Saccharomyces cerevisiae S288C: one gene and its partner. Changing the gene in region 1 together with any one later gene gives a genetic interaction. Each region holds a gene or a part of one and is shown in the gene's direction. Other genes may lie near its edges. The genes, in order: HMS1 and ATR1.

Region 1 (4,006 bases):
AGGAAAGACTATCGGTAACGAAATCTATAATACAGATGATGACGGTGATGGCGATACTAGCGAGGATTATAGCGAAACTGCGGAATCAAGAGTTCCCACGAGCAGCACCACCTCATTTCCCGGGTCATCCCAGAGGAGTATATCGGGGTGCACAAAAGTTTTACAAAAGTTTAGATATTCATCTTCATTCAGCGGAGTTAATGCAAATAGACAACCACTATTTCCTCGGCACGTTAATCAAAAAAGTAGAGGAATGGTATACGTCAATCAAAATAGAGATGATGATTGCGACGATAACGATGGTAAAAATCAAATCACGCAAAGGCCATCACTGCGAAAAAGCCTTATTGGTGCCAGGTCACAGAGAATTGTGATTGACATGAAAAGCGTAGATGAACGAAAATCATTCAATTCATCACCAATTTTGCATGAGGAAAGTAAGAAAAGGGACATCGAAACTACTAAGTCAAGCCAAGCTCGGCCGGCAGTCAGATCTATCTCCTTGCTTTCCCAATTTGTTTATAAAGGTAAATAAAAGTTAAGTACTGCACGTTTCATATCGGAGGTATATTTTTCAAATGAAAATCTCGTCGAAATGCCTCAAGACAAGAATTAAAAAATCAATGCCCAGTAAAGTAGGACAGGGTACGGTTGGAGTAAGAAGCCTTCTACTTTGGGAAAAAGCCATTGTACTAGACCAAGAAAAGATTAAAAGTAGATGTGTCAAATTAAGCCACAAGTATGTTTGCCCCGCTATGAACAATGCACGCCGCATGTGAGGACAACTTTATATGTTTTGCGAGCGCGCTGGGCATGTGCAATTCACATTTTTTTTTTCCTTTTTTTTAACCCACTCTATTTATCTAATCAAGCCGCTAGCGGTCTACATTCGCTATCAACTGAACGAATAGTGATGCAATCTGAACCTTAAACTTTTCGCTCGCTTTTACTTTCCAGAAAAAATTTTCTTCATTGGGATTCCTCTGCTGACAAACGGGCTCACAGAACTGAGGAAACGAGAATTTTGTTAATCAAAGCAACATTACGGGAAGGAACGGAACCGTCTCGTTGCTGTGGGCGCGAGTTCGACGCAAGAAAAAAATGCTGCAGCATCGTCTTTTGTGAACGCCAAGAAGGAGTCCGGCGAAGGTATTGGGCGTCACAACCTTTTATTCTCCGCAGTGTCTCTTGCCTACAAAGCCTGCAGAAGCTTTTATGCCGGGGTGTACGTATGTTAATCAGTTACCCTTTCCTACTGTGTGCCGCACCCCTCATTTGCTCTCGATACGAGAAGTTCCGCGCCGATTCTGGCCTTTTTGTTTTCTGGCTAGCCTACTTTCAGGGGACGTGCCTTCTTATGCCGCTGTAAATTACAGCAGAGATTTAGATCTGAGTGAAAACGTGGCGAGGAAAAAGGGTACACCGTTAAAAGCGTAGACACAATCCCACTTTGTTGTGCCTAGTCTTCTCTGCTGTATTTTAATTTTCTGTTTGAACTTTTTTCCGTTCTTTTCCATCATTGTTTAATTTTTACTTTGAGTGGGCTTCTCAAAAGAAAAAAATAGCTGGTATTGTATTTTTACCGTAGGCGTTTTCTTTGTATTTTTCCCAAGAGCAGCAGCACCTTTTATATACCTTGGTTACACATTGTAAGCCTCAAAAATCGTCCTATGTAAGTGTCTTATCGCATCATACTTAAGGTCAAACCTGTAAAGCGCGCTTCTAGTTTTATTTCTACTACTCGCCTTGGCTCTCGAGATCGCTTAGGTAGTTTAATAGTTAGTCACACCCACCCACCCATTCGCTTAGAATATAGAATATAGAGCAGTTGCAGTACACGACTCATTTTAGCAACGATAAGAGTATAAATTGGAAATGCCAAATTTTCAAAAACCTTTTTCTGGTTCTTCGGATGGCAATTCTGTAATGAACGACCTAGGTAATAAAGTCGCCATCAAGGTTTTTGATTGTAGAAGTGCTCAAGATGGCAGCGAAGAGCAGAATGTAAATGTAACCACGAACCAAATGTATTTAATGTTTCAAAGTAACAATTACAACGTGCCGCCACCAAATTACAATACCGAGGATTTGGGTTCTCAAGGACCTCCGACGCATGCTTATTACGCTCCATTTCAGCATCCCATCCATCTTCAACCTCCCGTGCCTCCTGTATATAAGAACAACACATATTCTGCCACAGACCAGTATAGTGACTCCTCGTTTCCTAATACTTCAGGCCACACTCCAGTAATTGATAGTAATTACTATAATGATGCTCTGGCTTCTATACCTACAACAACGACGGGTAGTACTACAATGACTACAGACAATGGCAATACTATTGACAGCGAAGAATACATTGATAACATGGAAGTCTTTAGTAGCGAGGAAAATGAAAACATTGATAATGTAAAGCAAACCGATCTTAAATCTGAAAAGGACTCGAGTCTTCTTTCAGCAGCTTCAATCGTGAAAAAGGAACAATTGTCTGGCTTTGAAAATTTTTTGCCTTTATCGAAGACAGAGTCTCCCTTAGTTACTGCAGACGAGATTAAATCATCTTTGAATTTGGAGAATATTGACAATGCTGACAGTATGAGCTTCAAGTTAAAAACTTCACCTATACGGAAACATTTTCATGTTAAACCCAAAAGAATAACAAGGGTGAGGACAGGAAGGGTATCACACAATATAATTGAAAAGAAATACCGTTCCAATATTAATGATAAAATTGAACAATTAAGGAGAACTGTCCCAACGCTACGAGTAGCGTATAAAAAATGTAACGATCTTCCCATTACATCTAGAGACCTAGCAGACTTAGATGGCCTAGAGCCAGCAACAAAATTGAATAAGGCGTCCATTTTAACGAAATCTATTGAATATATTTGTCATTTAGAAAGAAAGTGCCTACAGCTAAGCTTGGCTAATCAACATTTATCAAATGACACACGGGATTCTTTCGTCCATCTTACCGAGCCATCTCAACCGTTGAGTGACAACAGTAGTAGTGAACAAGTACAAAAGCAAACCAGAAGCTGCCAACGCCAACGGCAGCGGCAGCCACGACAACAACAACCATTGCATAACATTCAATATAATATTCCACATCAAAACGGCCTCATGAGCGGCACCAACAATTCACATGATATGGATTTTAACAACGCAGGAGACTTTTAATACTTGAACAACAAAATGTTTCAACACGACAGATAAAACGAAGAAGAAATACTATATACAAATCTGTACTTGTGTGTATGCGTAACATTGTAATTTTAATTTTGCATTGAGAAATCTATTTTATTCATCTCTTTTAGTGTTAGTAAACACTCGCAGATGCCTTGAGCTCCGCACCGTAATTTAGTTTAATTTATTTCTCTTAGTGCCGTCTAAATAATAACGATCTAAAAAAAAGATTCCGGGAAAAAGAAACTATACCTTATATTTAGTTCATGCAGTTAAATAAATGTTGTTAATTAAGGGTAAAATATGATGATGTATTTATGATAAGTAAAGAGTAGGGGTCACCTAACATTTTTCACAATTGCATTTACTCTTTTCACAAGTGCACGTGGTTTCGCATTTGCATTTTTCACCACAACTCTTACATTGAGGGCTTCCGGTGCTGTGATCACATTTGCACTTTTCACCGCCAGAACAGCTTGGAAGGCAGGTGCTCCCACAATGACAAGAGTCCTTACAACATTCGCCTTAACAGTCACATATTTTTACAGTCATATTTATTGAGTACTATTTGACATTGTAGTGTTCAGTGTAATATCGCTTCGCTATTCTTAGGGGGGACGATGTGCGCCCTTCTTATATAGGCCCCGCTTGATCACTACTTCACAGCCCTCTCGCATCCCTATCCTTTTTTTGTCCGAAAGACAAAAATCACTTCCACACAGCAATAAAGACGCATTTATTGTTCTTTTTCTTAAAAGTGCTTGCAGTAGGGGGTTTAGCAAAAGAAAAAAATATATGACCGGTTGTTATGCGATCTGAC
Region 2 (4,402 bases), on another chromosome or scaffold:
TTTCTCAAGATATCCCATCACCTTTGCCATTAAATGAACATATGTTTATGAATGATTCTAATCAGTCCAATGGAGCGATAATACCTCAACAGTTAATAGCCACACCTTCTCCGGTATCCCCCAATTTGCAAATGAATCAAAGGGTGTTGCCGAATCCAATAACTCAAAGTTTGGAGCAAAATTTCAACGTTTCGGCCAAAGTGGCATCATCCATGGGTTCAGACATAGGCAATAGAACAATTTATATAGGAAACATTAATCCAAGATCAAAGGCGGAGGATATCTGTAATGTCGTGCGTGGAGGAATCCTTCAGAGCATTAAGTACATACCGGAGAAGAAGATATGCTTTGTTACTTTCATCGAAGCTCCATCCGCTGTACAGTTCTATGCAAATTCATTTATTGATCCAATAGTGTTACATGGGAATATGTTGAGAGTTGGATGGGGGCATTATTCTGGTCCATTACCGAAATTAATCTCGTTGGCTGTTACGATCGGGGCAAGTAGGAATGTCTACGTAAGCCTACCAGAGTTTGCATTTAAGGAAAAGTTTATTCACGACCCTCAGTACAAAAAATTGCATGAAACACTATCTTTACCAGATGCGGAACAACTAAGAGAGGACTTTAGTACCTATGGTGATATTGAGCAGATTAACTATTTGAGTGATAGCCATTGCTGTTGGATAAATTTCATGAATATATCTTCTGCGATTAGTCTTGTTGAAGAAATGAATAAGGAATCCACAGTACAAAATGAATCCGGTGAAGTGACGCTTAAAAGGGCGACTGAGGAAAAATTCGGTGGCCGTTATAAGGGCCTTCTGATAAACTACGGCAAAGATCGTTGTGGCAATATAAACAAAAATTTGATAGCAGGTAAAAATTCAAGATTCTATAAGAAAGTTAAAAGACCGAGCTATAATATACGTTTGAGTAAGTTGGAAGAAAAGAGGAGGCAGAATGAAATCGATGAAAAGGAAAAGGCTTTTGATAAACCCTTGAACTTGGAATCCCTAGGAATTAGTCTGGACGCACATAAGGACAACGGCGGTGGTGAAACAGGAACTGCAAATAATACTGGGCATGAAAATGAAAGTGAACTAGAGGCTGAAAATGAAAACGGTAATGAGACTGGAAGTTTCGGTGGACTGGGTCTCGCTGTGGCGAGCTCTGACGTCAAACGTGCGACATCGGATGAAACTGATTATGAAGATATATTTAACAAGTCATCGGGATCTTCCGACTCGTCATCAGACGTCGAGGTCATTATGCACTCCCCGAGCGATCCTGAATACGCTTTAAAATCACAAACTCTAAGAAGCTCGAGTCAGACCGTCATTAATAGTAAGAGACCAGTAAAGATAGAAGACGAGGAAGAAGCCGTAGGAATGTCACAGCTCAATTATAGGTCGTCATTAAGACAAGCTCCTCCAAGAGCTCCCTCAACTTTGTCATATAATCACTCGAAGAACAACGAAACGCCAATGCAAGATATTTTCACAAATGGCGAAACAGCAAATAACAGAAAGAAGAAGAGAGGATCTTTTGCAAGGCATAGAACGATACCAGGATCTGACGTCATGGCCCAATACCTTGCACAAGTGCAACATTCGACATTTATGTATGCAGCCAATATTTTGGGCGCCTCTGCGGAAGACAACACGCATCCTGACGAGTAGTATAGCTGTGCTGAGCCTGAAGTATAATGCATATCCATCGGACTATTTAGACAAAGCCCAAGGAAGCCTAAGGCGGCCTGCCAAGGTGTTTCTCCCTTTTTTTCTCCGATTTCTTTGTATAAACTAAATAATATAGTGATTACTAATGGAATGGCGGTATTATGCACCTAACCTGTTCATTCTGCCACAGATTACGTAAGCGATTTATTGCCGGCACTTGTTGTCTTAATGACCGAGTCACCAATGTGGAACGATAATTTTCTCTGACTCAAACCTGTTAATTTTTTTCTACTTCGTTTCGTTAGCGACGACGTCAAGCCGCAGGATCCTGTCTGCCTTGACCTCTTCTCTACCTTCAGAACTTACACTTTTCAGGTAAGATGACCTTTATATAAAAGTTGACACTATTACAGTTGTTTATAAACGTCTGAAGAATGAGACGTTTTTATAAAATGAATAAAATGCATATTCTAAGTTTAAAACAACATTTTCAAAGTGTACGATTGTAAAAAGAGAGGCAATTAGAGAATCTCAAACAGGTAATAATAATGGGCAATCAGTCATTAGTTGTGCTTACGGAAAGTAAGGGTGAGTATGAGAATGAGACAGAACTACCTGTTAAAAAATCGTCACGAGATAATAATATCGGAGAATCTTTAACAGCAACAGCTTTTACGCAGTCTGAAGATGAAATGGTAGATAGCAATCAGAAATGGCAGAACCCAAACTATTTTAAATATGCATGGCAAGAATATCTTTTTATATTCACATGCATGATAAGTCAGCTTCTAAATCAAGCAGGCACTACACAGACTCTTTCGATCATGAATATTCTTTCGGACAGTTTTGGCTCAGAAGGAAACTCAAAGTCATGGCTGATGGCATCTTTTCCGCTAGTTTCAGGCTCATTTATTTTGATTAGTGGCAGACTAGGTGACATATACGGATTAAAAAAAATGTTGTTAGTAGGATATGTTCTGGTTATTATATGGTCTTTGATTTGTGGGATTACCAAGTATTCTGGTAGCGATACTTTTTTTATTATTAGTAGAGCCTTCCAAGGGCTAGGGATTGCATTTGTTTTACCTAATGTGCTGGGAATAATTGGTAATATATATGTAGGTGGTACTTTTCGTAAAAACATCGTGATTAGTTTTGTTGGTGCGATGGCCCCTATTGGAGCAACTTTAGGTTGTCTTTTTGCAGGACTGATCGGTACCGAGGACCCAAAACAATGGCCATGGGCATTCTACGCGTATAGCATAGCCGCTTTCATTAATTTTGTGCTCTCCATATATGCCATTCCGAGTACTATACCAACAAATATTCATCATTTTTCTATGGATTGGATTGGTTCTGTTTTGGGCGTGATAGGTCTCATTTTATTAAATTTTGTGTGGAACCAAGCTCCTATATCGGGTTGGAACCAGGCTTACATCATCGTAATTTTAATCATTTCTGTGATTTTTCTTGTCGTTTTCATCATTTATGAGATTCGATTTGCCAAGACTCCACTATTGCCGCGCGCAGTTATAAAGGATCGTCATATGATTCAAATTATGCTGGCTTTATTCTTTGGATGGGGCTCTTTTGGCATCTTTACGTTTTATTATTTCCAATTTCAATTAAATATAAGGCAGTACACGGCATTATGGGCTGGTGGAACTTACTTTATGTTTTTAATTTGGGGTATTATTGCCGCCTTACTGGTAGGATTTACTATCAAGAATGTGTCTCCATCAGTGTTTTTGTTCTTTTCTATGGTAGCATTCAATGTGGGCTCAATAATGGCAAGTGTTACACCGGTTCACGAGACATACTTTCGTACTCAGTTAGGAACGATGATAATTTTAAGTTTTGGGATGGATCTTTCATTTCCTGCTTCTTCCATTATCTTTAGTGATAATTTACCGATGGAGTACCAAGGCATGGCTGGGTCATTGGTGAATACTGTTGTCAATTACTCCATGTCCTTGTGTCTCGGTATGGGTGCCACAGTAGAGACACAGGTCAATTCAGACGGAAAGCATCTTTTGAAAGGCTATAGAGGTGCTCAGTACCTTGGGATAGGATTGGCAAGTTTAGCATGCATGATTAGCGGGCTTTACATGGTCGAAAGCTTCATAAAAGGCCGCAGGGCAAGAGCTGCTGCAGAATACGATTGCACTGTGGCTTAGCGGAAAGCGGTTATTAAGGTAAATAGATAGAAATACACCGCTGTCATGCGATTATATAGACATGGGGCATTTAGACACTGAAAGTCTTCATATCTCAACATGCAACTAGTAATAGTACAATTTTTAGTACCCTTTAATCTTTATTGTTCGCTCCCTAATAACGAAGCCTTGAACTGTAACCAGATCCCAGGTTACCCCTTATCCTTAAGAGGTCTTTTATTTACTCTACATAATATATATTTTTCAATCCATTGAAGAGGATTAAAAGAAGAAAAATCAATACCGAACAAAAAAACAAAACGAAATAAAACAAAACAAAAAATTAAATTAAATTAAATTAATATTAAATGTCATCATGATTCTTACTCTGATTGTCTTCTCTTCTCTCTTTCCCTTGACGCAATTTCCTTCAAATCGTCATCGCTCGGTTCATAAATATGCCAAATAGTATAATGCGGTAAACCACCAACCCTGTACCCCATTTTCTTTGCCATTTTACCAAATGCTTCTGTTTCTGCATGATTTTCAAAAGTAAATGCAGGA

The links.
Region 2: of HMS1 (region 1) and ATR1, changing one suppresses a phenotype caused by changing the other (phenotypic suppression), as found in Saccharomyces cerevisiae (one study listed by BioGRID).

Annotation. Positions count from the first base shown.
Region 1 is NC_001147.6:388,945-392,950, reverse strand, and holds HMS1 (Hms1p), read left to right. Parts: upstream 1-1,875; coding exon 1,876-3,180; downstream 3,181-4,006. Other genes in the region: Rad2 family nuclease EXO1, read left to right, coding at 1-535; YOR032W-A (uncharacterized protein), read right to left, coding at 575-775. UniProt on the Saccharomyces cerevisiae protein: Involved in exit from mitosis and pseudohyphal differentiation.
Region 2 is NC_001145.3:35,966-40,367, forward strand, and holds ATR1 (borate transporter), read left to right. Parts: upstream 1-2,230; coding exon 2,231-3,859; downstream 3,860-4,402. Other genes in the region: NAB6 (Nab6p), read left to right, coding at 1-1,682; VAN1 (Van1p), read right to left, coding at 4,222-4,402. UniProt on the Saccharomyces cerevisiae protein: Putative component of the machinery responsible for pumping aminotriazole (and possibly other toxic compounds) out of the cell. Probable ATP-dependent export permease. Appears to confer resistance only to aminotriazole.